2 linked regions of the Elephas maximus indicus genome follow. The protein of the gene in region 1 purifies or fractionates together with the protein of each later gene. This does not show direct contact. Links are inferred from orthologs where the notes say so. Each region holds a gene or a part of one and is shown in the gene's direction. Other genes may lie near its edges. The genes, in order: RAB27B and SYTL4.

Region 1 (15,850 bases):
TTTAGTAAAAGAAAGAAAATTTCAAATTGTGATGGCCAGTGTTATAAGATCTTAAAGGCACAGTCATTAAACCCAAGTTTGGATCACTTTTTTTCTGATTGTTACAAATTCAGTTTTGCCACTAATGAGTTGAGGAAAGACATCCTACTCTGCTACAAATACTTCATTTATCATAAATCTCCTGGGCCATAAAGTACAAGAAGCACAAGTGCTTTTTTGAAACCTGGAGCAGTTGGAGACCCTGGTAGATAACTCAGTAATTGACTTAGAGCCACCTATTCAAATATACCAAGTATTAGGGTCTGTATCTATTGGATTAACTGAAGTTATCATCTGATTAAGCTCATAGGTATTCACTATCATGCTTGCAGAGCCATCCATCTTCTACACTGGTCAAGGAAATCAGTCTATGGAGATGTGGCGGGAATCACCACCCTTGTGTGATTCAAGCTCTTAATGGTGGCGCTAATCTATGCAGTTCTTTCAGATATGGACCATTCTGTTGGATATATGTTTTTTTAGTTAGCAGGCATAGCTTCAGGTTCTCCAACTTCACCTTTCTATCACATTATCCCTTAATCTATGTTGTTGTTGTTAGGTGCCATCAAGTTGGTTCTGACAACCCTATGTACAACAGAATGAAACACTGCCCAGTCCTGTGCCATTCACAAAATCATTGTTATGTTTGAGCCCATTGTGGCAGCCACTGTGTCAGTCCATCTCATTGAGGGCCTTCCTCTTGCACTGATCCTCTACTTTACTAAGCGTGATGTCCTTTTCCAGGGACTGGTTCCTCCTGATAATATGTCTAAAGTATGTGACATGAAGTCTCGCCACCCTTGCTTCTACTGAGTGTTCTGGCTATACTTCTTCCAAGACATTTTTTCGTTTCTTCTAGCAGTTCATGGTACATTCAATATTCTTTGCCAATAGCGTAATTTAAAGGCATCAATTCTTCTTTAGTTTTCCTTATTAATTTTGTTTTTCTTATTCAGTGTAGTTTTAAAAACTAATCCTGTAGAGTGAAAAATACTTCACTCTACAGGATTATTTTTTAAAACTACATTTTAAGTTCTGAGAAATAGTAGGAGTGTCTTGATATTCGGAGTATCTTAATAAGTAAGCTTACATTATAATTATATGAAACATGGTATATATTCTTTTTTTCTCACCAGTGTGGTATAGGTTCATAAGCCCATAATGAATTTCTAATAAATATGTTTAAGTGTTCTATTTCCAAAATGACATGAAAATCCAAAACATTGTTCTCATGTTTACTTTGCCATTTTTTTTTATACCTTAATGTCTAAAAACCCACCACTGCCATTGAGTTGATTCTGACTCATTGCGACCCTATATCTATAGGTCACGGAAAAAAAATGGCAAAGTAAAATTGAGAATAATGTTTTGAATTTCCTTGTCAGTTTGAAAATAGAATACTTAAACATATTTATTAGAAATGCAATAGAAATTCATTATGGGCTTATGAACATTTACTGTATAATGACAAAAATAGAATATACCATGTTTCACATATAAGCTTACTTAGACACTCCTGCTATTTCTTAGAAATATAGTTTTGAAAGTAATCATGTAGTATGAAACTGTTTGCTATGACTAAACCTTCATTTCCTGGCTGTTATTTTTGTGACTTATCTTTAATATCATATATGATCAAGTATAATGCAAGAGCATTTCCCAAAATGACAACTCAAAAAAGAAATACTTTTCTTATATTGGAATCCTTCCAAGATCTCTCATATAATGGGACATTCACATAGCACTTTATTTTGAACAAAAGAGTATTTAGTGGGGAAAGACATACTTGCCTGAAATTACTTCACTGTTAGTTTGGATGCCTGGAAAAATTAGCTGATAATTGGTTGAAAGGCTGGCAATTTGAGAAAGACTTAATAATTACCTCTGAGTCTGTGACATCACTATTTGAAGTGTTGGTTATTTTTCAGTTAAAAAGCAGCAAAGGTTGTCAACAAAGAATACAGTTTTTTGGTAACATCTTTTGAGATAATGAAGGAATCACCATGTACTAATGTTTTGTTTATATGGTAGGCACATATGATATTTCATTTTGTATCTATCTCACTGTAAAGGCAGTAAAAAACAAATATAATTACATATTTCACATGTGCTTATATATGACTATATTTATATTCACACATGCCATTATATATATTGATACATGACTGTATGTGTGTATATGAATGTGTTTGTATGTATGTACACATATGCCATAATGACTTTACTATGCATTTAGTTTTGTTATTAATATGGATTTTCATCTCTTGATCAATTTGAGAAATTTAACAATTTTATAATTGTAACTTTGTCTGTAATCATACTTAGAGAATTTTTTTTTCTTATAAAGAGGTCTAATGCCATTCATAGGCAGAATCATGGCATACTCTCACTATGTTACTGTGGCTTCTTGTTAAAGCAGGGTTTGCATAAAGGCCATAGGCAAACATTACTCATGGGAGCATTTGTGCTTTTCCTGGAAGAAAAAATTGGACTAAGTTACAACACTCTCTGTGTAAGGCCCCCGTTTATCTTCATTTCATATTCTAAGAAACTGAAGCAAAAAGGTTAGAAGTGAGAAGGTTAAGACCTCACCATAGAGTGGAGAGATGCTCTAGATATAATTGAATGAACACGTCCAGTTTAATAAATTAATACCTAAAACAGGTCTTGACGTGTTACGTATTTGAAGCAATTTCCTTAGTAGAAAGTCACGTAAACATATATACTTCTTAAAGTCACATCTTTGAAAGTGGCTAAGAAAACTAGCATGACCTGGGAGTTTAGTCTTGTGACATATTAGTCAGACTGTGGGGTTTCCTCAAACTGGGGAGGGGTTGATTTCCATTTGTGATTAGACAGACTCCTCGTGAACTGAAGTAAGTGGAGGCACACCCATGTAAGACTTCCTGCAAACCCTTCCCTGCAATCCCAGGAGAAGACCTAGTTAGGAAACCTCTGATCTCATTAGCGTGGGATTCAAGTCAAGAGAGAAGACAGTAATTTTTAAGATTTGAGTATGGAAGGCATTATTTTGACCCAAATATAAATTCAAAGGCTCATACCACTGAGGAAACAGAAAAGAAACCAAACATAGTTGTTTAAAGCTTAAAAATATTCATTTTTCTCTTGGAATATCTTGTATCCTTGTGTCATGTTCCCTGCTGTATCCCCAGTGACTAACAGATTTCAAGGCACAAGTTGTTTCATAAATGTTTGTTGAATGAATAAATGATTGTGCAAACTCCTTACATCTATCTACATTCTCCACCCCAAATTCACTTTCTCCACTATTTATAGAGTATTATATTAAAATGTGGAAACCCTGGTGGCATAGTGGTTAAGCGCTATGGCTGCTAACCAAAAGTTCAGCAGTTCAAATCCCACCAGGCACTCCTCGGAAACCCTACGGGACAGTTCTACCCTGTTCTATACAGTCTCTATGAGTCAGAATCAACCAAATGGCAATGGGTTTGGTTTGGTTCATATTAAAATATACAAGTGTGTGAGAAACGCTGGTGGCATAGTGGTTAAGAGCTACAGCTGCTAGCCAAAAGGTCAGCCATTTGAATCCACCAGGTGCTCCTTGGAAACTCTATAGGCCGGTTCTACTCTGTTCTATAGGGTCGCTGTGAATAGGAATCGACTCCGTGGCAATGGGTTTTGGTTTGATTATACAAATATGTTAATTTTAATGTTTTCTCTACTGAACAAATGTCTTGTTTCTCTACTTATATTTTAAGGTTATGCGAATATTAATTTTATTTTTTATTAAGGTAATAAATTCTCATAGTTTTTAAAAAAGTAAAATGGTATTAAAGTTCTTATAAAGTAGAACAGATCTCCTCCTAGGCCACAGTCTCAGTCTCCACAGGCAAATGTTTTGACTCTTCTAGTGGTTTCTTATTGTACTTCCATATTTTAAATGGTTTGCTTACTCTGCTTTTTCTTTATTTAGCAATTTTACATATTATTTATTGACTTTCTGTTAAAATATTTGAGGAGTGGTTGCCTTACACACATATGTACATAGACTCTCTTGCTGTCTCTTTGTCTGTCCCTACCCTCCACATGAGGTTATATGATAGCTTAGGCTTAATTCAATTGCTGTGTCCCCATTATTTCAATTATACCCACACCTGTGCCGGGTGTTAACCAGTTGCCATAAAATCAATTTTAACTCATAGTGACCTCATGTGTGTCAGAGTAGAACTGTGTTCCATAGGGTTTTCAATGGCTGATTTTTTGGAAGTAGGTTACCAGGCCTTTCTTCCAAGTTACCTCGGTGTATATAATTTGATTTAAAATTTATTTCCCTAGACTTTAGGTGAAACTATTGATCTTAATAGTCCATGGCCTTCATTGCTGGAATTGTTTTCCATCATTTAATTAATTAATTTTTCCATCTTTTCTGGATAGGAAAAAAAATCTTTCCTGGAACTTTCTGAGATTTCAATTAGTCAGAAAAGCTTTATTCATTAGCTATTTTTTTATTTCTATATCTTTTTACTCAACTTTCTTAAAGACTTTTCCAACTTAATCTTCTAAATCATATTTTGAAATTTTTGAGTATAGTTTAACTTTCAAAAAGTTTTTCTTGTGTATAAATTTCTTTTCTATTCCTGTTTTGTAGGAGCAGAGATAAGAATGCATATGTCCAGTTCATCTTGTTGAACTGCAAATTACTCTAGTTTATCTTCTCCAGAAAATAAACCTTCGATCTCCTGGCAGCTAGGTTGGGCAGATGGAGAGCTTATGGTTAGTAGATTGCATAGCATGGAGAAAGGGAACTTGGCTCCCAGCATTACTCTATACAGACTTCTAACCAAACCCCTGTCTTCACCCACCACCTCTGCCTCCTAGGCCTGGGCCTCCAGGGCTAGGCAGGGAGAATCAGCTGGCTTCTTATCCTTAACCTTTCCAGCCAGCATGCAGAGTGTAAATTCCTTCTTCTTCCAAATCAGTGACGGCCTTCATCTGATTTAGGTTCTTCCCCAAATCCATTGCCATCTGTTGTGTCTGTTGATGTCTCCTCTCTCTCTTATTTCTCCTTACAGGTTAAGGAGCCCTGGTGGCACAAATGGTTAAGCGCTTGGCTGCTAACCAAAAGGTTGGCAGCTCAATTCCACCCAGCAGCTCCCAGGAGAAAGACCTGGCGATCTGCTCCCATAAAGCTTACAGCCTAGGAAACCCTACGTAGGAGTTCTACTCTATCACATGTGGTCACTATAGGTCAAAATCTTCTTGGTGGCACCTAATAACAACAAGGAGTTAATAACTATTTAAAAATTCATTTACTCTTGTTTTATAGGCGTTTGGAGAAGAGGAGATAAAACATGTGTGATTGATTTGCCATTTTTAACTAGATATCTCCCTAGGTACATTTATATATCTGTTTACTGAATTATAATCCTGTTGAAGACATAGATGATGTCTATTTAATTTGTGCTACATAAGCTCAGGTACAGGAAGCTCTTTTATATTATGACAAGTGATGCTGTCACCTTGCTTTCACTGGTTTTCTAGTATCTTTCTATTCTACTCTACATCTGGTCAAAGTGACTTTTGAGAAGTGGGCAAACAACGTTTTTCTCATGTCCCCCCACTGCCTTCTCCTCCTTGGAGCTCCTCTTCCCACAGGGAGGACACGTCCCTCCACTCTCAGGGAGCATCACTAGGTAACACTAATGGATCTGAGCCTCCGAACCTGAAATACAGGACTGTCTGTGGAAAGGGTGACTCCAGGAGAGCTGTCCCTGCCAGAGTTGATTCTAGGAGACAGCTGATACACTAATCTGGTGAAGAGTGACAAGGAGAGAGGACCATAAAGTGTGTTAGATTGTCTCATGGCAGAAACTTTTTCCAGAAATAATAGGGGGGCAGTACCATGTGGTAACCACCATGAGGTCCACATTTAGGACCTAACAGGTCAGAGCTCTGCCTTTCCTGAACTTCATGATTCTGGGCAATTTGTTAGGACTTCCTCAACCTCAGTTTCCTCACTCTTAAAATGGGGACAATAAAAATAATAGATACCTTGCCTATTTCAAAGCAATGTTGTGAAAATCAAATGAGATGATCTATGGACAAGGGCTTTATAAACTCTATCATATACAGGAAATAGTAGCTATTGGGATTAAAGTTAGTAAGTGAAGGCATAAACTAGGTAAAGAATACAGATGATCATTAGATAGCCCAGAGAATCATTTTAAAATTAACAATACATACAGTAGAATAAATTCAACATTGCTATGTTCTTCCTTTTAGTTCTACCCACATCTGCAGGCACACACACTTGCATATATGGATATGCTGATAGATGCAAAGCTGATTTACCGTAAATATTGATTACAGCATGTATAATTTGAAAATCTACAACCTGAAACTCATATATGTTCTCCTAGTAGATCAGAATTTTCTTTCTTTTTTTTTTTTAAATGCATTGGTCTGAATCAGCGAAGAGTGGGGAAGATTAAGTGTACCAACATAATAATAGCCAACATGTACATAGAGCTTATTGTGCCAAGCACTGTTGTATGCATTTTACTTAGATAACTCATTTACTCAAATTGACCCAGTGGAGGCATTATTGTTACCCCTGTTTTAAAGATAAGAACATTGAGACCAAATAATCAAAAATTACTCTAAAGCAAAGATGAGAACATAAGGGGGCAGGGAAACTAGAGTACTGGAAATAGTACAACCAAAATGGTATGATTGATAGCGATGACACTCTGTGAAAAATGTAACCAAGATCACTGAATAATTTGTGTAGAAATTGTTAAATGGGAACCTAATATGCTGTGTAAATGTTCACCTTAAACACAATAAAATATTATTTAAAAAAATACAAAAAAATAAGAACTTCTTCCATATTTTCCTAAGCTGAGCGCTTAGCCGTTGCACCACCAGGGATCCTTCTGATCCTTGAATTGACTTTAGAAAGCAAGGAGGGCTGGTGATACTGACAGATATATGAACACATCGGGAAACCCTGGTGGTGTAGTGGTTAAGTGCAAGGCTGCTAACCAAAGGTCAGCAGTTTGAATCCACTAGGTGCTCCGTGGAAACTCTGAGGCAGTTCTACTCTGTCCTATAGGGTCGCTATGAGTTGGAATCGACTTGACGGCAACACGTATGAGTAAAAACTGATTTTTAAAATGGGAATTTCTTTCCAGCTCCCCCTTTCTTTCCCCAGGCCCTTCTCTGTCCTCCACTTGCAATTCTTTGCTCTCTCTAGTTGATAAGGGAACCTATTCCCCTCTGAGAGGATATTATGCATCTGAAGCAGTTCTCTTCCCAGTGCCCGGGGCTCTTCGAGTCAGAGACGTAGAAGAAAAACCCAGAGAAATAAATTGAATAAGATGAACTCACTGCTAGGGTTTGAAGCCCTACAGCGCAGAGAATGTCACCAAAAGCCAAGTGTGTTTGTTATCCCAGCAGTTGAGTCACCAGCAAGACATGCCTGAGGTGAGCTCCTCACATCCGCGTTGGGGCTGGGAGACACGCCTTCTTCTCACACAAACCTTTCAGATCCCGGCGTCTCAGGCCGGCTGCAAGGGGTGGTGCTACATGTCCCGCCACTTGCCGTCCTGCCGGGCAGGGCTGGGGACAGATCCAGGGTCCCAGGTTGGAGATACAGGAGTTGTCCCCATGATAGACGCCTGGCAAAGGCAGGTCCCGTGCTGCTGCTGGTGTTGAAGCCCAGGAGTTTAAGGCCTCGGGAGAGGGGCAGGGAGCCGCTCTGAAATCTGACACCAACCGTGTCGGCCGAGAAAACTTCGCAGGCTGGCTGGTGAGTAGGGAAACCGGGCTGTTCTTGCTGAAATGCGTTCCCACCCATCCAGGGAGCTCTCGGCGCTGCCTGCGAAGGGAAGTGAGACGTGGACGCGAGCAGCAGGCCTGGGAGAAGGGGCGCGACTGCAGGCTGTGCCTGGGACCGGGCTGGTTCCGGGTGGAGCGCGGTGGACCTGCGGTTTCCTGCAGAAATACACGCGTACGACCCAAGGATGTGTGCTGCACAGATGCCATCCGAAAACTCTGGCCGGCTGTCTTTGTTTTGGTATTTGCGTTATCAAACAGCTGGTTGGGACAAAAAACTAGGCACAGCAATGCTGATGTCCTTCTATCTGTATCTCAAAACCAATAACCAAACGTAATAGTAGTAATAAATATATCGCTACTACTAATAATAATAGTAACAAAAATAATGTGTTTAAAGAAACCTGACATAGGCAAGTCAGGCAAGTGCGTGCTAGGGCATTTCTCTGTACTTCTTCAAGTGAAATAGCCACTGAGAAATCAAGAGGAATTTCTGTTTTCCAATTTTTGGCTCTGTTACTTCTTGTTCTGTTTAAGTGGTGCTGCTGCTGCAGTGTGTGTGTGCGCGCGCTGTTCAAGCGATCGTAATAAATTAGTGTCCAGGATTTTCCTACCTAAGGAAACATTACCTGATTTAGCACCTGAAAACTAATAGAGCAGGTGAAATGTAACTAGTAAAAGCAGAGAAAGCATTCCAAGGGAAAAGCTGAGCTTGGTTAAAGTCATCACACCTGTGGCATGTTTACCAGCTCTTTATTTAAGAGCTAAAATTAAGGGCATAAGATTCCAGTTTTTTAAATGGTAAATTATTAAACTAAGCCCTAATTAATAACATGAAATTTCTGAGTTATTAGCAACAGAATTGTTATTTAATATAATATAGCCATAACTATTGATTTAATTCTGTTTAAAAGGAAAATATGTACTGTTCACGGCATCTAGTTAAAGGTCTTATATATAAGAACACATTTATTTATATATCTTATATATACACTTATATATGTACACTTACATATATAAGTTTATTTATATATACTTATGTACACATATGTACACACTTATGTAAATATAAATTTATCTATACACATACTCAGTAATAAAAATGTGTCGTCATATGCAGGATTTTATAGTGCTAAACTTTGAAGAGTTGACAGAAAAGCTGGACTTCAGCATTATGGCCCGAGGTATTTAAGTTCACTGAATTCTCAAGCTACTATAATGTCCAAATCATAGTTACCAAGTGAGAGCTATACTTGTCTCACATCCCCCAAATAGTTATTTTTCCTAGTTTCCCAGCATAATCCTCTACCCAGATGGGATTAGGTCTTTTTGAAGGCAAAAGAGGATTCTTACAGATGATCAAAAAGGGGTAATTTTGACAGTGTAATATTAATGAGGCTTCTCTGCTTAAGAACTATGAACACCGTAGAATATTACCGTCGTTGCTTTTGAAAGGAAAACAAAACATTTCACATGGAACTGGATGAGCCTGTTCTCAGAGTTGCCAAGATGGGATAAAGGGAATCTGTCAAATGTAAGCAAACCACAGCTCTCCTTTCTCATCAGCCAGTCTGGAACAGACATATTTGACCTAATGAGGAAGGTAACTCTACTGTAATCTATCTTCTCAACTCCTTGGCACACCATGCTATGCTAAAACTATCTGCTGGTTTCAGAATTGCTTTTCATTTATTTAACTGTTCTTCTGGAAAGGTGGAAGTGATCCAAAGCCCCAGGTGGCTCAGAACAGAAATCTGCTCTTTTCCCACCTTCACACTTGGAAATTTCTGATTCATTTCCTTAGCTTTTCAGTTCAGTAGACCGTGAAATGTAGACCAACTATTCACATAAAAGCTCTGCACACAATTACTCCAGTTTCATGAATCAAGGATCTGGCAGGTTAACCAATACTTTGGCTCTTAAGCAAGTAATTATAATGGGGATATGTAAGAAAATGATTGCAGTCAAAGCAGACAGCACAAACCTGGGTGTTTCACATGAAGAGCATGCCACTTGCTTATAAGGGCTGTTAAAGGAGGATGACTTTTCACCCATTAGTAGGCGTATATGGAGCTTAGCTTTATTAGGTATTAGCAGGAAGTCACAACATCACTAACCATAATTAACTAAACTATTGTAAACCCTATATAGAGTTGAGAGTATTAATGTATTTCACAACTTTTGTGATCATTATTCATGTTCTCCAAATATTAACCTTCCCTCGTCTCTCATGGATACTCCTTAAATGAGGGAAGCTTCTCTTGGTTATCAGTAATGAGAATAAAACCCTGTTTAAAAACTAGCCAAAAATTTTTCAGTAAGTTCAGTCTTTTTAATTAAACCACCGCTCAACTTACTGAGAAAGATAATATATTAAACTGCTTATTCATTTCTTGAACAAATACTTATTGAGTGCCGAGCAACAGGAGACGGGAGCACTATTTTAGACACTGTGTGTGCAGATGTGAATAAAACAGACAAAATCCCTGCCCTCAGCTTGCATTTTACCTGGGAGATAGGGAGTAAACAAGTCAAACAAGCTAAATCTATGGTACAGTAGAGGTAAATGCCAAAAAGCAGAGGAGAAATGCAGAAATTTGTTTGAAATTTTAGATACGGTGTCCAGGGAAGCCTCACTGAGGTGATAGTTGAGTATTGATTAGAAGGAAGTGAGGGAATGAGCCATGTGGATGTAAGGGCAAAGAGGACTACAGACTGAAGGAACAGCAAGCAAACAGAAAGAAGCCCATACAAATGGAGAAAAGGGAATGAGCGGAAGGCATTCAGTCAGATGAGTAATGGAACCAGATCACAGAGGGCTTTGAGGGTCATCAGCAATGTACTGACTTTTGATTTTTATTCTGAGTGAAATGAGGGGACACTATGATTTGGATACAGCCTGTCAGAGATTCATTCAATAAATACTTGTTGAACACACTGTGAACTTTGGTACTCTCTAAGCACTGTGTATAACCAGTTGCTTGTCAAGCCAACTCTGCCTCATGGTGACCCCCTGCATGTCAGAGGAGAATGACGCTCCATAGGATTTTCAATGGCTGGTTTTTCAGAAGGAGATCACTACGCCTTTCTTCCAAGGTGTCTCTGGGTAGACTTGAATTGCCAACCTTTCAGGTAGCAGCCGAGTGGGTTAACTGCACCACCCAAGGACTCCTTAACACTGTAGACACCAGAAGTTAATCAAACACACAAGGCTTCTGCAATCGTGGAGCTTACATTCTAGTGTGGGGAGACAGACACATAAGTAAATAAGTAAATAAATAGTTCTGTAAGTTTCAGTGCTAAAAAGGAAAAAAAAAATCAATAAAGGGGAAGATAATGAGAGTGATCTGGGGAGACTCTGTGTGATCAGTGGTCAGGATAAGTCTCAGAGAAGGTGACATTTAGGCAACCTTGAAGAGAAGGATTGTAGGGCATCCAAAAAGGACATAGGGAGACAAGTGAGGAGGCTATTCCTGTAGATCAGGGATGACAGTGGCTTACATTAGAGCTGGAATGTGGTCACGGAGGGACATGGATAGATTTAGGAAAGTCTTTGAAGGCAGAGCTGACAAGCTGTGTTGACAGATTGGATGAAGGGTGGGAAATGAAAGAAAGAAGAAACAAAATGATCACTAGATTTTGTGCTGAACAAACTAGGTAGATGGTAAAGCCATTTCCTAAAAAAACACTAAACTAGGGGAGGAACAGATCTTAAAGAGAAATTAGGAGTTCATATCCATCTACTTGAGGTCTTTTTGGGTATCCAAGTGGAAATACCAATTTGGGCTTTTGGATATATGAATCTGGAGCACGCGGAAGGAGTCAGTCAGAGCCGAATACAGGAATTTGAGATTCAACCACCTATGGATGCTATTTAGAGCCACTCTCTTGAGGGTTATCACCTAGAGAGATGGTAGAGAAAAAAGTATAGCACTGAGGACCAAGTTCTGCTTTATTTTAACATTTAAGGATGTTGCAGAGGAGGATGTCAAAATTAGTTGGATTTGAAAAAAACCATTAGAAAGTCTATCATCAATCAAATATTGCTAGTGCTGAGTAGTGTACAGCTATGGGTATGACATTCAGTCTCTTCAAGGCCTTGATCTTCTCCTGTGTAGAATAAAAGGAATAGATTATTTTAAGCTTGTATTATATTTGTCCGATCTAACTTGTGTAAAGTCCTCAGAGCCTGAGTAGTTTGTTCAAAGAATAGCTCAGTTTTTTACTATTTAACGTATGTGATTTTCATAAACCCGATGTACTATTGATAAATATTTCTGGACATGTGGACGTATTAAAAATATAGAATAGAATTAGTTTTTTTTCAAGGAGGGAAAGGAAAACTAGGCATCTCCTAGTGCTTAAAAAAAAAAAATGCAGAGACCTTTTCCAATGTCAAGAGTTGCCATATATTGACTAAGTGCCTCCTTGGACTGTGGTATGCCTCTGATTTTCTGAAGTTTTTTTCCCAAATGCTGGGAAGTGCAGGAGAAATGCAATCCATTTGCTAATTTTTTAACTCCTTAAGTAAACTGTATATACCGCAACTAACTACATAGAAACTGTTATTCATAACCCCAGTCCCACGCCCACTCCTGTTCAATCACTGATCATAATCTTCCAAGGTTGGCAATGTCCGTCATCAAACCCCACCTCTCAGGGCTTTGAAGTAAACTGCCTCTATTAGAAACAATTCTGCAAGACATATCTTTCACTTTAATGAAAACATTCTGGTATTTATAACTAAGGGTTACAACATAATGAAACAGGCTTAGATAAATAGGCCATCATATGAGAAAAGGAGCCCTGGCGGCACAGTGGTTAATAGCTCAGCTGCTAACCAAAAGGACAGCAGTTGGAATCCACCAGCTGCTACTTGGAAACTCTATGGGGTGGTGCTACTCTGTCCTGTAGGATTGCTTTGAGTTGGAATTGAATTGATGGCCATGGGTTTTGTTTGTTTGTTTTTTATGAGAAAAACCTATAATCTTCAGTTAGAAATGGTGTGTTAGTTGATGTAGATTCCATAAAACTGGTTACCAGTGAGTGGATTCTGACTCATGGAGACCACATGTGTGTCAGAGTAGAACTGTACTCCATAGGGTTTTCAATGACTGATTTTTCAGAAGTACACCACCAGGCTTTTCTTCCAAGGTGCCTCTGGGTCGCCTCCACCCTCCAAACTTTTGGTTAGCAGCTGAGCAGGTTAACCTTTTGCACCATCCAGGGACTCCAAAGACTGCATAGTAGTAATAAAATAAAATGAGCAACTTCGGGTTTCCATTTCTCCACTTTCCGAGGCCATCATTAAGTACTACTTATTTTGAAATTTGCATATACCGTCTCCCCAAATGTCTTTAGATTTTAATATTTCATTTAATTATTATAAAAATCAAGCAAACAAAAGTAGAATGCTTAAACTCATTAGTACTGCTTCTGGATCTTTCTTTAAATCAGCACCCTCTTCTCCCAGGAGTCTATGTATTTGGTATAATTCATTCCATTTGAGATTACAAAGCAGGCAATTCCTAGATAAAGGTGAGAGTGAACTCACAAATGAAGGGAACATGGTATGTGGGTCACTTAATTCAAAGGATAAAAATAAGAAATCCTAGGCTTATTGGCATTTGGGGGAGCACAAATCCTGCCTATGGTATATCAGCATAAACTTGGGGGAAAATGCCATGTGAGTTGTATTAAAGTTGGCAATGTTATGTTTTACAATAAAAGATCTTCTCAAAATGTTAAACGTGATAACTGCAATTTAACCTCTGGTATAATTTTTCTGTCTGATTTTTTTATTTAAAAAAAAAATCATTAAATGCAAACTATGTGTCAGTACCACACTTGGTACTGTGGTTGTAAAGATGAATAAAACATAGTTCCTGCTCTTGAATAACTTAGAATTTGGTAAGGTAGAGAAATACATAAGCAGATAATTTTAGTGTAACCTCTTAAGGTTAAAGTTGGTGAATTGAATGCAGTATTGTGATGGCAAAGTGGAAGATATATTTAAGGGGGTTAAAACAATGGAGAGATCAGTTAGGAACGGGAAATAAAACAAATCTGAAATGAGTTCAGTGATTATAAGATTGGAGAAGAAAAGACAGATTAGAAAAATAATTAATAAGGGTGGGTATTGACCAGCTATTGGGGGAAAGGAGAAATTTTTATTAAGTTTAAATTGCTGGCTTTAATGATGAAATAGATGGATGAATCGTGGTTTCATTAATTAAAATCTGGCACAGAGAAGGCAGAGCAAGTTGAGGGAGGAAAAGGAAGTGTTCACTTTTGGACATAGTGTATCTGAGGTACCTGTGGAATCCAATCCAATATGTTCAGCGGGAAAATAACTTCAGGAATCTGAACCTCCCAGGAGAGGTCAGGCTGGTAATAGTGATTGGGAAATACTAACAGGAATGTGATCTCTAAAATCCATGAGACCACGTGCTATCTCCCAGGGAGGCACTGGAAAGAGGAAAAGTAGTAACCATAAGAAAGGACTGGTGATTTTCTTTCTTTTCTGTCATTACGGATCTGCTTGAGCTAATAATGACATTTAAATCTTAGAAGGACTTAGAAATGTAAGGTTATATAGCTAATTATATATATTTACCATTATTAAAGTATAACAATAATTGGAGAGAAACGTTAAATATACCTGTGGTTCTTAGTTTCTGAATACAATATCATTTATGTTATTCTGTCGGAGCACTGCCAGATTCCAAGTTCTTTAAGAGCAGGAACTATATCTCATTCATCTTTGTAACCACAGTACCAAGTTAAATTTTCTTTAAGTAGTATCACGGATTGAATTGTGTTCCCCCAAAATATGTGTATCAGTTTGGCTACACCGTGATTCCTGGTATTCTGTGATTGTCTACCAGTTTGTCATCTGATGTAATTTTCCTATGTGTTGTAAATTCTTCACTATGATGTTAATGAGATGGCTTAGTGGCAGTTATGTTGATGAGATCTACAAGATTTAGATGGTGTCCTAAGCTAGCCTCCTCTGAGATATAAAAGAGAGAAGTGAGCAGAGAGACATGGGGACCTCGTACCACCAAGAAAGCCACACCAGGAGCAGAGTGTGTCCTTTGGACCTGGGGTTCCTGAGTGGAGAAGCTCTCAGTTCAGGGGATTGATAACAAGGACCTTCCTCCAGAGCTGACAGAGAAAGCCTCCCCCTGAAGCTGATGCCTTGAATATGGACTTCTCGCCTCCTAGACTGTGAAAGAATAAATTTCTCTTTGTTAAAGCCATCTACTTGTGGTATTTCTGTTATAGCAGCACTGGATGACTAAGACAACTAGTGTTTCCTTTTCCTATAATTCTGCTCACCCATATTCTCGCCCAGTCTCATTTATGAAAACTGACACATCATATCTCAGTTAGGAATGTGTTCTACAACTTCAGAATGGAAAACCCACAGACTCCTAATGTGATTGCATAAATTGATTTGGTCTCATTCATATCATGCTATAATAACAATCAAAATTAATTTAAGAGGAAATTACCTCCCACTCTGTTCATTTTACTCAATAGCTGTGTTCTAGCTTTTATGACCAAATTTATGACACTTTTAATCTCAAAATCTATTGACCAGAGCATAATTTAAAATGTATGTTTATACTCTAAAAAAATTGCCAAATAATTCTCTGGCAATCCTTATTTTTGCAGGTTCTAAAAATATTCCTGTAAAAACTTGTCAAATGGTTGGCAAAATTTAGAGAAAATTATTCTCTCTCTCCCATCTCTTCTTCCTCATCCCATTCCCATGTTAACACTCTTTCCAGTGTTACCATTAGAAAACATTGGGGGCATATTCTATCGCATTTATAAAAATTCTTTATACAAGCATCTGGTGCCTCTCACTCTCCATCACAAGTATTTCTGATAACTGAACAATGCCAGTGAGAACATACTACATGTCTACCTGTCCAACTGAGACATTGGCCATGTTCCTTCTGGAGTTTAGGTGTGAAAGCTTTTG
Region 2 (15,265 bases), on another chromosome or scaffold:
ATGTACAGAGAAAGAATGTAATTAATGGCACTGAATTATACATGTAGAAACTGTTGAATTGGTGTCTGTTTTGCTGTGTATATTCTCAACAACAAATAAGTAAATAAAATTTTTAAAAATGTACAGAGGATTTGAATATAATTTTTTCCAAAGAAGATACGCTAATGGCTAAAGAGCATATGAAAAGATGTTTAACATCATCAGTTATTAGGGAAATGAAAAGTAAAACCACAATGAGATACCACTTCACATACCCTGGAATGTCTATAATCAAAACGACGATGATAACAAGTGTTGGTCAGGATGTAGACAAATGGGAACTCTCATACATTGCTGATGGAAATGTAAAATGGTGTAGCCACTTCAGAAAGCAATCTGTTTGGTCCTCGAAAGGTTAAACATAGAATTACCATATGATTCAGCAATTCTATTCCTAGGTATATACCCAAGAGATCTGAAAACACATGTTCAAAAAGAAAGAAAGAAAGAAAAAAAACCCTCATAGCAGCATTATTCATTGCTTTTGTTGTTTTTAGGTGCCATTGAGTTGGTTCTGACTCATAGTGACCCCATGCACAACAGAACGAAACACTGCCCAGTCCTGCGACATAATCACAATTGTTGCTATATTTGAGCCCATTGTTGCAGCCACTTTATCAATCCATCTTGTTGAGGGTCTTCTTCTTTTTCTCTGACTAATTTACCAAACATGATGTCCTTATCCAGGGACTGGTCCTTCCTGATAACATGTCCAAAGTATGCGAGACAAAGTCTCGCCATCCTCGCTTCTAAGGAACATTCTGGCTGTATTTCTTTGTTCTTCTGGCAATCGCTGGTATTTAATATTCTTCGCCAATACCATAATTCAAATGCATCAATTCTTCTTCAGTCCTCCTTATTCATTGTCCAGCTTTCGCATGCATATTAGGTGATTGAAAATACCATGGCTTGGATCAGGTGCACCTCGAGTGACATCCTTGCTTTTTAATATTTTAAAGAGGTCTTTTGCAGCAGATTTGCCCGATGCAATACATCGTTTGATTTCTTGACTGCTGCTTCCATGGGTGCTGATTGTGGATCCAAGTAAAATGAAATCATTGACAACATCAGTCTTTTCTCCGTTTATCATGATGTTGCTTATTGGTCCAGTTGTGAGGACTTTTGTTTATGTTGAGGTGTAATCCCTACTGAAGGCTGTGGTCTTTGATCTTCATCAGTAAGTGCTTCAAGTCCTCTTCACTTTCAGCAGGCAAGGTTGTGTCATCTGTGTATCACAGGTTGTTAATGAGTCTTCCTCCAATCCTGATGCTGTGTTCTTTTTCACATAGTCCAGCTTCTTGGATATTTGTTCAGCATACAGATTGAATAAGTATGGTGAAAGAATACAACCCTGATGCACACCTTTCCTGATTTTAAACCACACAGTATCACCTTGTTCTGTTTGAACAACTGCCTCTTGGTCTATGTACAGGTTCCTCATGAGTACAATTAAGTGTTCTGGAATTCCCATTCTTTGCAATGTTATCCATAATTTGTTATGATCCACACAGACAAATGCCTTCATACAGTCATTAAAACATCTTTATGGTATTCTCTGCTTTCAGTCAAGATCCATCTGACATCAGCAATGATATCCCTCATTCCACATCCTCTTCTGAATGTGGCTTGAATTTCTGGCAGTTCCTTGACAATGTGCCGCTGCAAGCATGTTTTTAATTATCTTCAGCAAAATTTTACTTGTGTGTGATATTAATGATATTGTTTGATAATTTCTACATTTGGTCGTATCACCTTTCTTTGGAATGGGCACAAATATGGATCTCTTCCAGTCAGTTGGCCAAGTAGCTGTCTTTCAAATTTCTTGGCATAGATGAGTGAGCGCTTCCAGCACTGGATCCATGTCTCAAAACATCTTAATTGGTATTCCATCAATTCCTGGAGCCTTGTTTTTCACTGATGTCTTCAGTGCAGCTTGGACTTCTTCCTTTAGTGCCATCTTTTCTTGATCACAAGCTACCTCCTGAAATGGTTGTACATCAACCCATTCTTTTTGGTATGGTGATTCTATGTATTCCTTCCATCTTCTTTTGATGCTTCCTGCATTGATCAACATTTTGCCCAGAGAATCCTTCAATATTGCAACTCAAGGCTTGAATTTTTTCTTTAGTTCTTTCAGCTTGAGAAATGCTGAGCGTGTTCTTCCCTTTTGGTTTTCTAACTCCAGTACTCTGCACATCTCATTATAACACTTTTCTTTGCGTTCTGGGGCCAAGCTTTGAAATCTTCTGTTCAGCTGTTTTACTTCATCATTTCTTCCTTTCGCTTCAGCTATTCGACATTTAAGAGCAGCTTTCAGAGTCTCTTCTGACATCCATTTTGGTCTTTTCTTTCTTTCCTGTTTTTTTAATGGCCTCTTGCTTTCTTCATGTACGATGTCTTCAATGTCATTCCATAACTTGCCTGGTCTTTGGTCATTAGTGTTCAACATACCAAATCTATTCTTGAGATGGTCTTAAAATTCAGGCAGGATATTCTCAAGGTAGTACTTTGGCTCTCTTGGTCTTGTTTTAATTTTCTTCAGCTTCAACTTGAACTTGCATATGAGCAATTGATGGTCCGTTTTGCAGTCAGCCCCTGGCCTTGTTCTGACTAATGGTATTGAGCTTCTCCATTGACTCTTTCCACAGATGTAGTTGATTTGATTCTTGTATATCACATCCAACCAGGTCCACATGTATAGTCACTGTTTATGTTGTTGGAAAAAAGTATTTCCAATGAATAGGTCATCGGTCTTGCAAAATTCTATCATGCAGTCTCCAGCATTGTTTCTATCACAAAAGCCATATTTTCCACTACTGGTTCTTGTTCTTTGTTTCCAGCTTTTGCATTCCAATCATCAGTAATTATCAATGCATCTTGATTGCATGTTTGGTCAATTTCAGACTGCAGAAGCTGGTAAAAATCTTTAATTTCTTCATCTTTGACATTAGTCATTGGTGGGTAAATTTGAATAAGAGTAGTATTAACTGGTTTTCCTTGTAAGCGTATGGACATTATCCTATCACTGACAACATTGTACTTCAGCATAGATCTTGAAATGTTCTTTTTGACAATGAATGCAACACCATTCCTCTTCGAATTGTCATTCCTTGCATAGTACAACATATGATGATTGTCTAATTCAAAATGACCAGTATCAGTCCATTTCAGGTCACTAATGCCTAGGATATCTATCTTTAAGCATTCCATTTCATTTTTGACAGCTTCCAACTTTCCTAGATTCATTCTTCGTGTGTTGCACGTTCCTATTGTTAATGAGTGTTTGCAGCTGTTTCTTCTCATTTGGAGTCATGCCACATCAGCAAATGAAGGTCCTGAAAGTGTGACTCCATCATTAAGGTAGACTCTAATATGATGAGGCAGCTCTTCCCTGGTCCTATTTTGAGTGCCTTCCAACCTGAGGGGCTATCTTCCAGCACTATATGAGACAATGTTCTGCTGCTATTCATAAAGTTTTCACTGGCCTATTTTTTTAGAAGTAAATCGCCAGGCCCTTCTTCCTAGTCTGTCTTAGTCTGGAAGCTCCACTGAAACCTGTCCTGTTAGAAATACCGGTGGCATAGCTTCCAGCATCACAGCAACATGCAAGCTAACACAGTACAACAAAATGATAGGTAAGTGATGGGCATTATTCATGATAGCCAAAATGTTGACACAACCAAAATATCCATGAACTGATGAATGTATACACAAAATATGGCATATCCATAAACGAGTATTATTTAGTCACAAAAATGAAAAAAAAAGTAACATCACGAAAAATGGCAGAGTAGGGAACTTCAAAGAAACCCTGGTGGTGTAGTGGTTAAGCCCTTGGCTGGTAACCAAAAGGTCGGGGGTTTGAATCCACCAGTAGCTCTGTGGGAGAAAGGTTTTGCAGTCTGCTTCCATAAAGATTACAGTCTTGGAAACCCTATGGGGAAGTTCTCCTCTGTCCTATAGCGTAGCTATGAGTCGGAATCGACTTGATGGCAACAGGTTTTTTTTTTTTTTCTCCTCGAATGGCTGTCATTAGCTACTGGATAAAATACAAATTGTTTCAGATGACTCACAGGCCTCTGAAGATGTAGCCCCTGACGATCTTTCTAGCCTCAGCAATCATCACTTTTTTTGTTAAATTTTATTCTCTGGCTACACCTTATACATCCTTTGCATATACCAGTGTTTCTAGCCTTTTTCCTCTTGCTTATGCTATTATTCTGCTTAGAATGCCTTTCCTCCTTTTTGTCCTAGCTAATTTCTAATCATCCTTCCAGATTTAGAGAAGCATCCTCTTGCAGAGACCCTTCACTGACCCACCAGACTGCCATAAGTGGTCATCCTAGGTGCGCCCACACAGTCTGTGCATCTCTCTAGCTTTGCACTTCCCACAAGGTTCTGTAATTTTATGTTTGTGGTTTTCCTCCACCCCCATAAACTGTGAGCTCCTTGAGGACAAGGATCACCAAAAGCCCAGTGCCTAGTACCATATACTTTGTACTAGTAGATGCTCAATACCTATCTTTGAATGAGTGACCTTTTTTCAGTGTTTGTTCATCTTCTATCACATCTTCTTCTTATTAAAAAAAAAAAGAAAAACAAGCCCATTGCCATCAAGTTTGTTCTGACTCATAGCAACCCTATAGGACAGAGTAGAACTACCCCATAGGGTTTCTAAGGAGTGGCTGGTGTATTCGAACTTCTGACCTTTTGGTTAGCAGCCAAGCTCTTAACCACTGTGCCACCAGGGGTCCTCTTCCTCCTACAGCGACTCTACCCAATAGATGCCAGGAGCAACACCCCCAGCACTCCCAGTTGTGACAACCAAAAACATTTCCAGACATTTGGTATTGCCAAATGTCCTGGATTAAGAACCACTGGTCAAGATATACTAAGCATTCATTATATGCAAAGCATTTTAGTAGGTGCTCTTCCTATAGCACCTACTAAAATGCTTTGCATATAACAGGACTGGGCAGTGTTTTGTTCTGTTGTGCATAGGGTCACTGTGGGTCAAAACCAACTTGACAGCACCTAACAAGTATATCTTGACCAATGATTCTTAATCCAGGATACTTGGAAATATCTGGAGACATTTTTGTTTGTCACAACTGGGAGTGCTGGGAGTGTTGCTACTGTCATCCAGTGGGTAAAGGCCAAGGATTGTGCTAAACATCCCATGATGCACAGGACACAGCCCCCACAATAATGATTTGGTTTAAAATGTCAATAGTGCAGAGGTTGAGAAATTGTGATTTTGACTGACTGAGAGACTGAATCTACTTTTTACATCCTGTACTCACTGTAGATCACTAGTGCACTAAATTTGCTTTGTGAGGAAACCTGCTTTTATTTTTGTTTTGTTTTTACAAAAGCAAACTTACCTAACATGAGGTAAAGAGGGAGGGCCCCTGTATCTGGGATTTAAGACTTTGTCAATTAAAAAAGTATCTGATCAACAGAAAAACAGTTACATAAATTGCAATATGTTTATGCCCTGGAATGGTCTACAGCAGTGAAAATGAATAAATTAGAACTACATATATCAACATGGATAAATCTCATAAGCATAACGCTGAGTGAAAAAAGCAAATATCAGAAGCTACATACTATTTATATAAAGTGTTTAAAAACTACATTTTTTTTTTTACTTAGTGATAGACAAATATGTAGTAAATGTATAAAGACATGCATGGAAATGATGAAGGCCAGATCTGGGATGGTGAAAGCCTCAGATGGAGGATGCAAGAGGCTTAAATTGTATTGATATTGCCTTGTTTCTTAAGCTGGGTAGTGAGCGTGTCCTTGTTATAGTATTCTTTATAGATCCATGTATTTTTTGAAATAGTTAACACTTTTTTTTTTTTAAAAAAGTAATTGTTCAATAATGAGGCATCTTGTCAGCTAGGGCTGTGGAAAATCTCCGTCTTATTAGTTTGCACTAGCTAGAACTCCTTCAACGTGGCAAAATCGAACAACTCATTGAAACCAATCATTCACTATGGAACAGGAGTTTACATACTATACATAAGATGATAATCCATAAATTCCTGCTTACATTTTTGTACAAGGTAGTACCTGAGTTTGGTCACATTGGATCCCTCACAATATTTAGTATAAGAATTTGAGCATAGAATCCTTGTGACAGAGGAGGAGGATCAAACTGGGCAACAGTATGCAGAGCACAGAATGCATGTAAACCAGCCATTTCCTAACTTTGTTTTGGTTCATTGTTTCTGTTTGTCTCTCTCTGTGTATTTGTAACTGAGTCAGTGAGATTGTCTTAGAGAAGAGGCCAACCTTGGAGAGTGGGACACTGCATATGTAGAAAGAAGTAAAAGCTTAAAATAATATCTGGAAATTTTGCAATTTGCTGAGGAATAAGGAGGTTGGACTACGTGTTTTCTGAAGTCCCTTCTGGTTGAGGGTGTTACCAGCTTCCCTCAAGCACCCCAGGTGAAGTAGGAACAGAGAAATGCTTGGTCTGAGTTCCCACAGCCCAGGGCAAGACAAGAGCCTGGAACTTCCTCCCCTCCTTCCCGGTTTGGGACATGGAACACATTAAAAGCCCAGGGCTGAGCAAATGGGCCCCAAGGGCTGAATTGGCAAAACTAGACAGACAAAAAAAAAAAAAAAGGATTTGCTTTTTGAAATGGCTCTTCTACACTTCAGGCTGGGGGCAGGGAATTGAAGGGCTAAAGTAGGGAAGAGAACTCCAGGTAGAGCCTGGGAGTGGAATTCTACTCTTTAGTCTTTTAAAAATTAAAAATTTTCTTTTCTTTCTCTTTATAATATTAAAAAAATTATTTTTTCATATTATCAAAGCCATACAAGCTCATTATAAAAAACTTGAAAAATATATAGAAGCAGGAGGAAAACTAAAAATTCATTCAATTCCACCACCTAGAGACAGCCACTGTTAATATTTTGGCATATTTCCTACTAGTCTTTTTTTCTATGCATATCATCTTCCTCATTTTTGTTAATTGTTGTGATCATCTTATATATTAAATTTTGTATCTTACTTTCAATTAATATTATAGTATATGCATTTCCCTGTCATTGTGCACTATGTATAAAATGAGTTGTTTTTTTTTTTTGCTATATAGTATTGCGCTGTATGAAAATACTGTAATTAACTTAACTATTAAACCATTGGAGCCCTGGTGGCGTAGTGGTTAAGAGCTTTGGATGCTACCCAAAAGGTCGGCAGTTCAAATCCACCAGCTGCTCCTTGGAAACCCTATGGGGCAGTTCTACTCTGTCCTATAGGGTCGCTATGAGTTGGAATCAACTCCACAGCAATGGGTAGGTAGGTATTAAACCCTTAGGTTTTTTCCTAGTATTTTATTATTCTAAGGAATGCTGGGATTAACATCATTGTACAAAAATCTTGTGTACGTCTCTGTTTCCTTGGGACACATTCATTCATTCATTAAACAAATATTTATTGAGGGCCTACTATGAGCCAGGTAGTATACTAGCTGTCAGGTTTCGGCCTTGAGTGGCATGTTTTCATTAAGTGAGATAGCAAACGTCGGAGAAAGAGCAAATATAATAGAGAAGATGGTGGATTCAGTTTTGGATGTATTGACTTTGAGGTGCCTGCAAGACATCCAAGTGGAGGTGTCAAGAAAGCAGAGGTCAGTGAAGAGGTCTATGTAGAACAATATGATTACAGCTGTGGCCGTGTATATATTAATTAAAGCTAAGTGAGTGAAAAGATCATTTAGGGAGAGAGTATATGTAGCCTGAGAACCTCCAACTTTTAGAGGTCAGATAGCAGAAGTGGAACCTACAAAGGAGACTGAGGAGGGGACAAAGGGGTAGGACGTAAGGCAAAGGCGTATGGGGTCATAGATGCTACAGGAAGAGTTTCAAGGAGGAGGGAATGGTTAACAGTGTTAAATGCCATGGAGAGGTCAGCAAGACAAGGCCTGAAAGTACCCTATTGGTTGGATATCTTTTGCTGCACAGTTTCAGCAGAGTGTTGGGGAAGGAAGCCAGATTGCTGAGGGTTGAGAAATGAATGAGAAGGGAATGGAAATAGCAAATGTACCTGTAAAGTACATTTTCAATAAATTTGCGTATGAAAAGGAGCTGGAGAGTAGGAAGGATATTTTATTTTTTAAGATGGCAGAGACTTGAACACTGTGTAATTGCTGATGACAGATGAGAGAGACTTGAGCATTTAAGTGACTTAAGAGAGGGAAGGATGGAGGAGAGGAGATAGGGAGGGAGAGGAGGAGAATGAGAGAGAGAGAGTGAAATCTACAATTACTGGGTAGATAGGAACATTTTAAAGTCTACTGATATATATTGCTCCCGTGCTTTATTTTCTAAGTTTTTTTTTACTAACCTACACTCCAACCAGCAAGTATGAGAGACCTTGTTTGGTGGCCACTTTGTCATCATTAAGTGTTAAAATAGCAATAATATAAACCTTTGCCAAAGAATCTCATTTTTGTTCTTATTTGATTACTAGTGAGTTTAATATTTTAACCAGTTGTGTCCGTGTGTGTGAGTGTGAATTTCGTCTATGTTCTTTGCCCAACACGTTTGTATTTTAACCACTGTTACTTACCATAAAAGGCCGAAAGTCAAAGGATCAGAATGGTGTCACATTTTATCCTCCCGAATTATATAGTCCAGAGTCTTCGTATTCTTGGAAGTACGCGACAATTTGACAACTTTGGCTCAGCTGAGCGGAAGAGGTAGATGATTTTACCATCTAAGAAAGTGATCACAGATGTCTAATCTTAGACCCCTGTCCTCAGTCTCAAGGTCTTTTTTCCTAGCCTGGGAGGACACACTCTACAAGTGTCTTAAGACTCTGGCTCCCCAAGCTCCCCTTTAGGGGAGCGGTCCCCTACTTAGGAGCCCGGAGCGCTGTGCGGCCCCTTTAAGAGTGCAGCTCCTCCCCGCTCCAGGGAAAGTTGCAGCTTTTTCCGCCTCCCTGGAGGGTGAGAAGGGCCGGCCGCAAGAGCGGGGTGGCAATCTTCCAGGAGCTGGAGACCCTCCCCTGAATCCAGCACTGGGACGTCTCGCCTTCTCGCGGCACCTGTTGCAGGTGACAGGTAGGTCCGCAGCCAGCGGCCCTGAGCCCTCGGTCCGGTGCTCCTTCTGGGCCCCCAGCCCCTATTCGCTGCCAAAGCGTCCCCCCACCCCCATCTCAGGGACCTGCGTCCTTCCCTATCCCCCTTTGCTTCTCCCTGTCTATACTTGCCCCTAGCAGACCGCCTGTCTCCTCTCCCCTGTCCGCCCCTCCGGACCGCTCCCCCCACACGTTGAGTCCGATCTGCTTGGGGCGATCCCCTCCCACGAGTTTTTTTTTTTTCTCCCAGGCCTGTTCTGGTCCCCTTCCCCTGGCCCACCCGTCGCTAACGCGTGCTGTTGCCCTCTGGGCTCTGCCTCCTGGGGGTCTCCGCTCCCACCGAGTGTCCCAGCTTTTCCCGCCCGCCGGAGCCGGTGCCCCTCCCGCAAGCAAGCCTTAGGGGCGGGGGTAGGGCTGAGCTCCTAGCGGGAGCGGCGCCCTCGGAGGCGTCGAGTCACCCTTCCGTCGGTTCCTCCCGCAGCGCTCGGCCGTCTCTGCCCTACCCTGACTCCGGACCGCGGACCTCGCGGCGTCGGCTGCCCTCGCCTCGGCTTGTCCTCCGCAGGTAAAGGCTGGAGGCCAGTTGGCCCCGAGTCCTGCCTTAGTGGGCTCCCTCTGCGCTTGGGGCTGGGGACCCGGGCTGTGTGCTCTGGAGCCCAAGTGCTTTATCTTGCCAATCTTCAAGCAGGTTTCAGGAGTTTGCTCCTGGAGAAACGTTCCAGAGCCCTCAGAGTGGGACACAGAACGTTTCTGTCTCCTGTGATGGTTTGTAATGGGGCAGAAAAGGTGTTCCTCCAGTCCTTCACTTTGAATGAGATGGTTGGGAGTTTTTTGGTGGTGAAATCATTTGGTTTGAACGCTGGTGGCTTAAAAAGGCACCTGCTTTTCATTAACCAACCTTTTCTTTTTCTCCCTGCTTCTTCTGGACCAGAGGACCTAGCATTCCAGAATACTGCTTTTGGCAGGGTTGACCCTAGACCTTGTACATTTGTGGCAGAACTTAGTCTTCAGTATATCCTGGATCTCCTATATTTAACTGGCTTCTTTTCTGCTCTTGCACCCCTCACAAATCCATTAACATTAAGGCATTAATGATCTAATTTGTTTACCCCGATGATCTGTGGCTAGAGCAATGTTTAATGCAGAGGTGAGGCCCAGATGCAGTGTATGTAGATCTATAAGTACATGTATTTAGCACCAGCTGGAAATCTTAGTATATAAAAAAAAAAAAACACCAACTTGGCTTGTGAGGCTTTTCTTGGGCAGAGGATGAACATTTCTGGTAATACCATTTCAGGTGCCTCACTCCAGAACAGATGAGTGAAATGGAGGTTAGATGCCTCTTCTGGAGTAATTGGTCTGTGAGTGTATGTAGCATTCTGGTGAATGTTCTCTGAGTTTTTTCTCCTTAAAGGCTGTTACTAATAATGGTTGTTAGAATTCATTGAGCCAGGCACTGTGATAAGTTCTTTACATAACTATCTCATATAATCCTCAAGATAACTCTATGTGGTAGGCACTATAATTATAACCATATTATGATGAAAAGAAGACTCTGAGAGCTTGAGTACCTTGCCCCAAATCACCCAGCTGATGAGGGGCTGAGCTGGGCCATCTGACCACAGAGTTTGTGTTCCTATCCTCTGTCATACCACCTCTACCATCTTAGATGTTAGGAATGCTAATAGCTCGTGGGTGAAGACTGTGACTAAAAATTTTCCTTCCACACTGAAGCATAAATTTTGGTCCTTAACTTACCTTAGATACACTGTGGTGATTCTGGACCACTTATTTCACTGATTTATTTACCCACCTTGCTCCAAATGTGGGACCACTTGTCATGTTGCCACCATAAGCACACACCCCTGAGTGTACCCAGATGAATGAAACCTCCCAGGCTCTCAGCTCAGTAGTGATTGTCCTGAAGATAGGAGAAGGTAACCCTGGATTCTAGGGATGTGCTCCTGGATCAACATTTTCCTTTCCTGCTGGCGAGGGGAGAAACAAGGGTGCGGTAGGTGATAAGAACTTCCCAACAGCCAGGCCAGAGAGCCTGAGGGAGACTGTGTGCTTGTTTTATCCTGGGATGAATAGGTTACCTTAGGCAGGGAGCCCTGGTCCTGGTGCAGTGGTTAAGAGCTGTGGCTGATAACCAAAAGGTTGGTAGTTTGAATCCATCAGCTGCTCCTTGGAAACCCTATGGGCCAGTTCTACTCTGTCCTATAGGATCCGTCTATGAGTCAGAATCGACTTGATGGGTATGGTTAAAAAAAAAAAGCAGGGATAATATGATCCCATCTCTGGGTCTTTGCTCACATTGTTCCTTTTTTTTTTCTTCTTCCTGAAAAGCTAGCACGCCACCCCTTACTTACACCCAGTCATTAATTTGTATTCATCTCTCAAGATTTAGCTTCTCTGGAGGTTAGGGTTAGGCTTATCTAAAGTCACCTCCTTTGATACAATTTCACTGAACACCCAGGCAGAATTACTAGTTATGTCCTTCATGGTTCATGGTATATATGGTGTATCACCCACTTTTTCCGGCTTTCAGGTTCTTTGGTTGTATACTTTTACTGCTAAAAGTATTTGCTGCCCTCCAGTGGGGACTTGCATAATGGAGAAAGATGAAAGAAATGTTAGTTGAAGCAAAATAGCTGGGGTATGAGGCTTCTGAGTTAGGTAGTGCAATCAGGAAGTATGATTGGGTAAAAATTTTATCCCTTTTGGCTTTTGTACCCCTAGATAAGCCTTGTAAAAATTTTTATGGTTTCCTGTGTGATAGGGAGCCCTGATGGGTTTTGGTTTTTTTTTTTTTTGCTTGTGTGTGTGTCATATTTGGAAAACCGGAAACCCTGGTGTCATAGTGGTTAGGTGCTACAACTGCTAACCAAAGGGTTGGTAGTTCAAATCCACCAAAAATGTAAACACACTCCACGACTCAACATGGAGCCCTGGTGGCACAGTGGTTAAGAGCTCAGGCTGCTAACCAAAAGGTCAGCAGTTCGAATCCACCAGCCACTCCATGGAAACCATATGGGGCAGTTCTCCTCTGTCCTGTATGGTCACTATGAGTCAGAACCAAGTAGCCAGCAACAGGTTTGGTTTTTTGTTTTATGACTCAGCATGCTTCCATTAATGAAAACACATGGTATCAAAAAAACAGAAAGTAATTGGACCTTGAAAGGGTTTTTCTGTGTCCTAAAGCACTTTGTTTACACCTCAGTGGAGTCCTTAACACCTCTCCTAGTTGTTTTTTCACCTGAAAGGTTGTTACTTCTTTAAGGGCAAGGTCTGGATCTCAGAGCTCAATTTGTCCTAAGCACAAGGGATTAACAAATGTTTGTGCTAGGAACTGGGGACACAGTGCCCTAAAGGACCTGAGATCTGGTAAACTACAAAAGACACCTTCCTGAGGCACTTAAAATCCTGCAGCTAAGCGTTTGTACTTAAATGTCACCTTCTCAGTGAGACCTTTGCTGTTTTTAAAATTGCAACCCCTTCCGTGAACATTCGAGATCTCCCTTCCCTACCTTATTACTCTAATGTAGCATACTGTGTGTATTTTATTCATTTTTCTTATTGTCTGTCTCCTCCCACTATCACATAAACTTCATGTGGGCAGGGATTTCTGTCTGTTTTATTCACTGGTAGATCCCAGCACCCAGAAGACAGCCTGACACATCATAAAAAAAAAATTTTCTTTAGGTACTTACTAATATTTGTTAAATGAATTAATGAATGACATTACTGTTATATGAATTGGCACTCTTTTGTACTCTCCTGGACCTGAAACTAAGCTTACCCAGTTTATCGCCCTACAGCTGTGAGGGTACCCCACACCCAGTTCTCACATAGCTTTCCTTCTGTTGAGTTTTACTTTGAGATTGCATTCCTGATGACCACTTTGACCTAGTTGGCAGCGCTTCCTCTCTCCTATTTTAAAGCATAGGTCTCTGGTGGAAACTTCGAAAAGTGAAAATGCTGTGCTTCTCGACTCAACGGCACTGGGTCTTGTTGGTAGGAAGGGGTCTGTGCTGAAGCGGGCAGTGTGGATTATCAGATGTCTTGAGGCCTTTCACAGGCATTTGGTTTCTCAGTAGGATGCTGGAGAAAAGTTACTGTGTGGTCTGGGAAGTGAATAGCTGAAAAGACTCTAAAAACCAAAAAACCAAGACCGTTGCCTTTGAGTCGATTTTAACTCACAGTGACCCCAAGTGTTATAGAATAACATTGCTCCGTAGGGTTTTCTTGTCTGTCATCTTTACAGAAGCAGATTGCCAGGCCTTTCTTCCATGGCACTGCTGGGTGGGTTTGAGCTACCAATCTTTTGGTTAGCAGACATCACAAACTACTTGTGCCACCCAGGGACCTTATAAGATGCCACAGATTAGGTTTCTTGCCTCCCAATAAAGTCACTCTTACACCTTTAGGCATGAAGTGGTTATTGGGTTATGAACTTTACAGAAAAGCCATAGCTGAATGAATGCTACTTGTTTAGTTTGACAGTTTTTGTACTAGGATAATTACGCCGTGTGAGGAAACTACTAAGTAACATAAAAGAAAAAAAAATTACTCTTTTCTGTTTAAATGTTTTTAAATATTCAGAAAGAAAAAAGGCCCCAAACCAAACCAAACCAAACCAGCTGCTGTGGAGTTGATTCTGACTCATGGTGACCTCATGTGTGTCAGAGTAGAACTGCACTCTATAGGCTGTGTGTGTGTGTGTGTGTGCGCGCGTGTGCGTGCACGCGCGCACCTGCACTTTAGGTGAAAGTTTACAGAGCAAATTAGTTTCTCACTCAAAAAATTTATACACAAATTCTTTCGTGACATTGGTTGACATCTCCACAGTGTGTCAGCACTCTCCCCCTTTCTACCCCGGGTTCCCTGTTTCCATTTGTCCAGTTTTCGTGTCCCTTCCTGCCATCTCATCTTTGCTTTTGGGCAGGTGTTGTCCGTTTGGTTTCATAGACTTGATTGATCTAAGGAGCACGTTCCTCACCTGTGTTATTGTTTGTTTTCTAGGCCTCTCTAATCTTTGACAGAAAGGTGAACTCTGGGAGTGGCTTCAGTTCTGAGTTAGAAGGGTGTCTGGGGTCCCTAGTCTCAGGGGTTCCTAGTCTCAGGGGTTCCTCCAGTCTCTCTCAGACCAGTAAATCGGGTCTTTTTTGTGAATTCTGTTGTACATTTTTCTCCCGCTTTGTCCGGACCCTTTATTGTGATCACAGTCAGAGCAGTTGATGGTGGTAGGCAGGTTCCATAGGGTTTTCAAGGCTGTGACCTTTTGGAAGCAGACCACCAGGCCTTTCTTCTGAGGCACCTCTGGGTGGGTTCAAACCACCAATCTTGAATGGTTAGTAGCTGAGCACTTAACCATTCATGCCACCCAGGGACTACCCCCCACCAAAAAAAAAAAAAAGAAAAAAACCAGGCCAGAATCCCTCAAAAGACAGGCTTGGAAGGAGTTGGACCCTTCCTAAGGTGGTAAATATATGATTCTCCACCATTTGATAAACATTAATGTTTTTGAAATTTGAATTTGTTAAAAAACAAACAACAACAACAAAATTGTGCTTGGTTTCCTCTTCTGATAAATTTATCTCCCAAATTTGTTTAAAAAACAAACAACAACAACAAAATTCTGCTTAGTTTCGTCTTCTGATAAATTTTTCTCCTCTAAACATTGGAGTGACCCAGGGGTCTCAGTCTGTAGATTCTTCTCCATCCAAAATCTTCCCAGAGGATCTCATCCAGCTCCATGGCTTTAAATGATGTCTATCTATACACTGATCACTCCAAAATTTATGTCTCTAACCTAGGCCTTTTCTCTAAGTCCTAGACATATATCCAATAGCCTAGTCAGCATCTCTACTTGGATGCCAAATAGAGATCTCAAACATAATATAACTGAAACAGAACTCCTGATTCCCCCCCTGTCACTAGTCCCTCCCTTCATCCTCTCCCATCTCAGTGAAACGGCACTATCATCCATTCAGTTGCTCAGTCCAAGGACTGAGGGTCACCCTTGGTTTCTCTTATTCTCCCAACCCCACATCCAGTTCATCAGGAAGTGCTGTCAACATTATCTTCAAAATATATCATTTATTCTGCCACATGTCTCCATTTCCTCTG

Evidence for each region.
Region 2: the proteins of RAB27B (region 1) and SYTL4 purify together in Homo sapiens (co-immunoprecipitation; 3 studies listed by BioGRID and IntAct, counting the BioPlex papers as one, with this or other methods). This does not show direct contact. The link is inferred for Elephas maximus indicus from reciprocal best matches to the Homo sapiens genes RAB27B and SYTL4.

What each region holds. Positions count from the first base shown.
Region 1 is NC_064829.1:63,459,374-63,475,223, forward strand, and holds the start of RAB27B (ras-related protein Rab-27B), read left to right. Parts: upstream 1-7,545; 5' UTR 7,546-7,831; intron 7,832-15,850. UniProt on the Homo sapiens protein: Small GTPase which cycles between active GTP-bound and inactive GDP-bound states. In its active state, binds to a variety of effector proteins to regulate homeostasis of late endocytic pathway, including endosomal positioning, maturation and secretion.
Region 2 is NC_064846.1:57,576,215-57,591,479, forward strand, and holds the start of SYTL4 (synaptotagmin-like protein 4), read left to right. Parts: upstream 1-8,987; 5' UTR 8,988-9,116; intron 9,117-9,614; 5' UTR 9,615-9,698; intron 9,699-15,265. UniProt on the Homo sapiens protein: Modulates exocytosis of dense-core granules and secretion of hormones in the pancreas and the pituitary. Interacts with vesicles containing negatively charged phospholipids in a Ca(2+)-independent manner.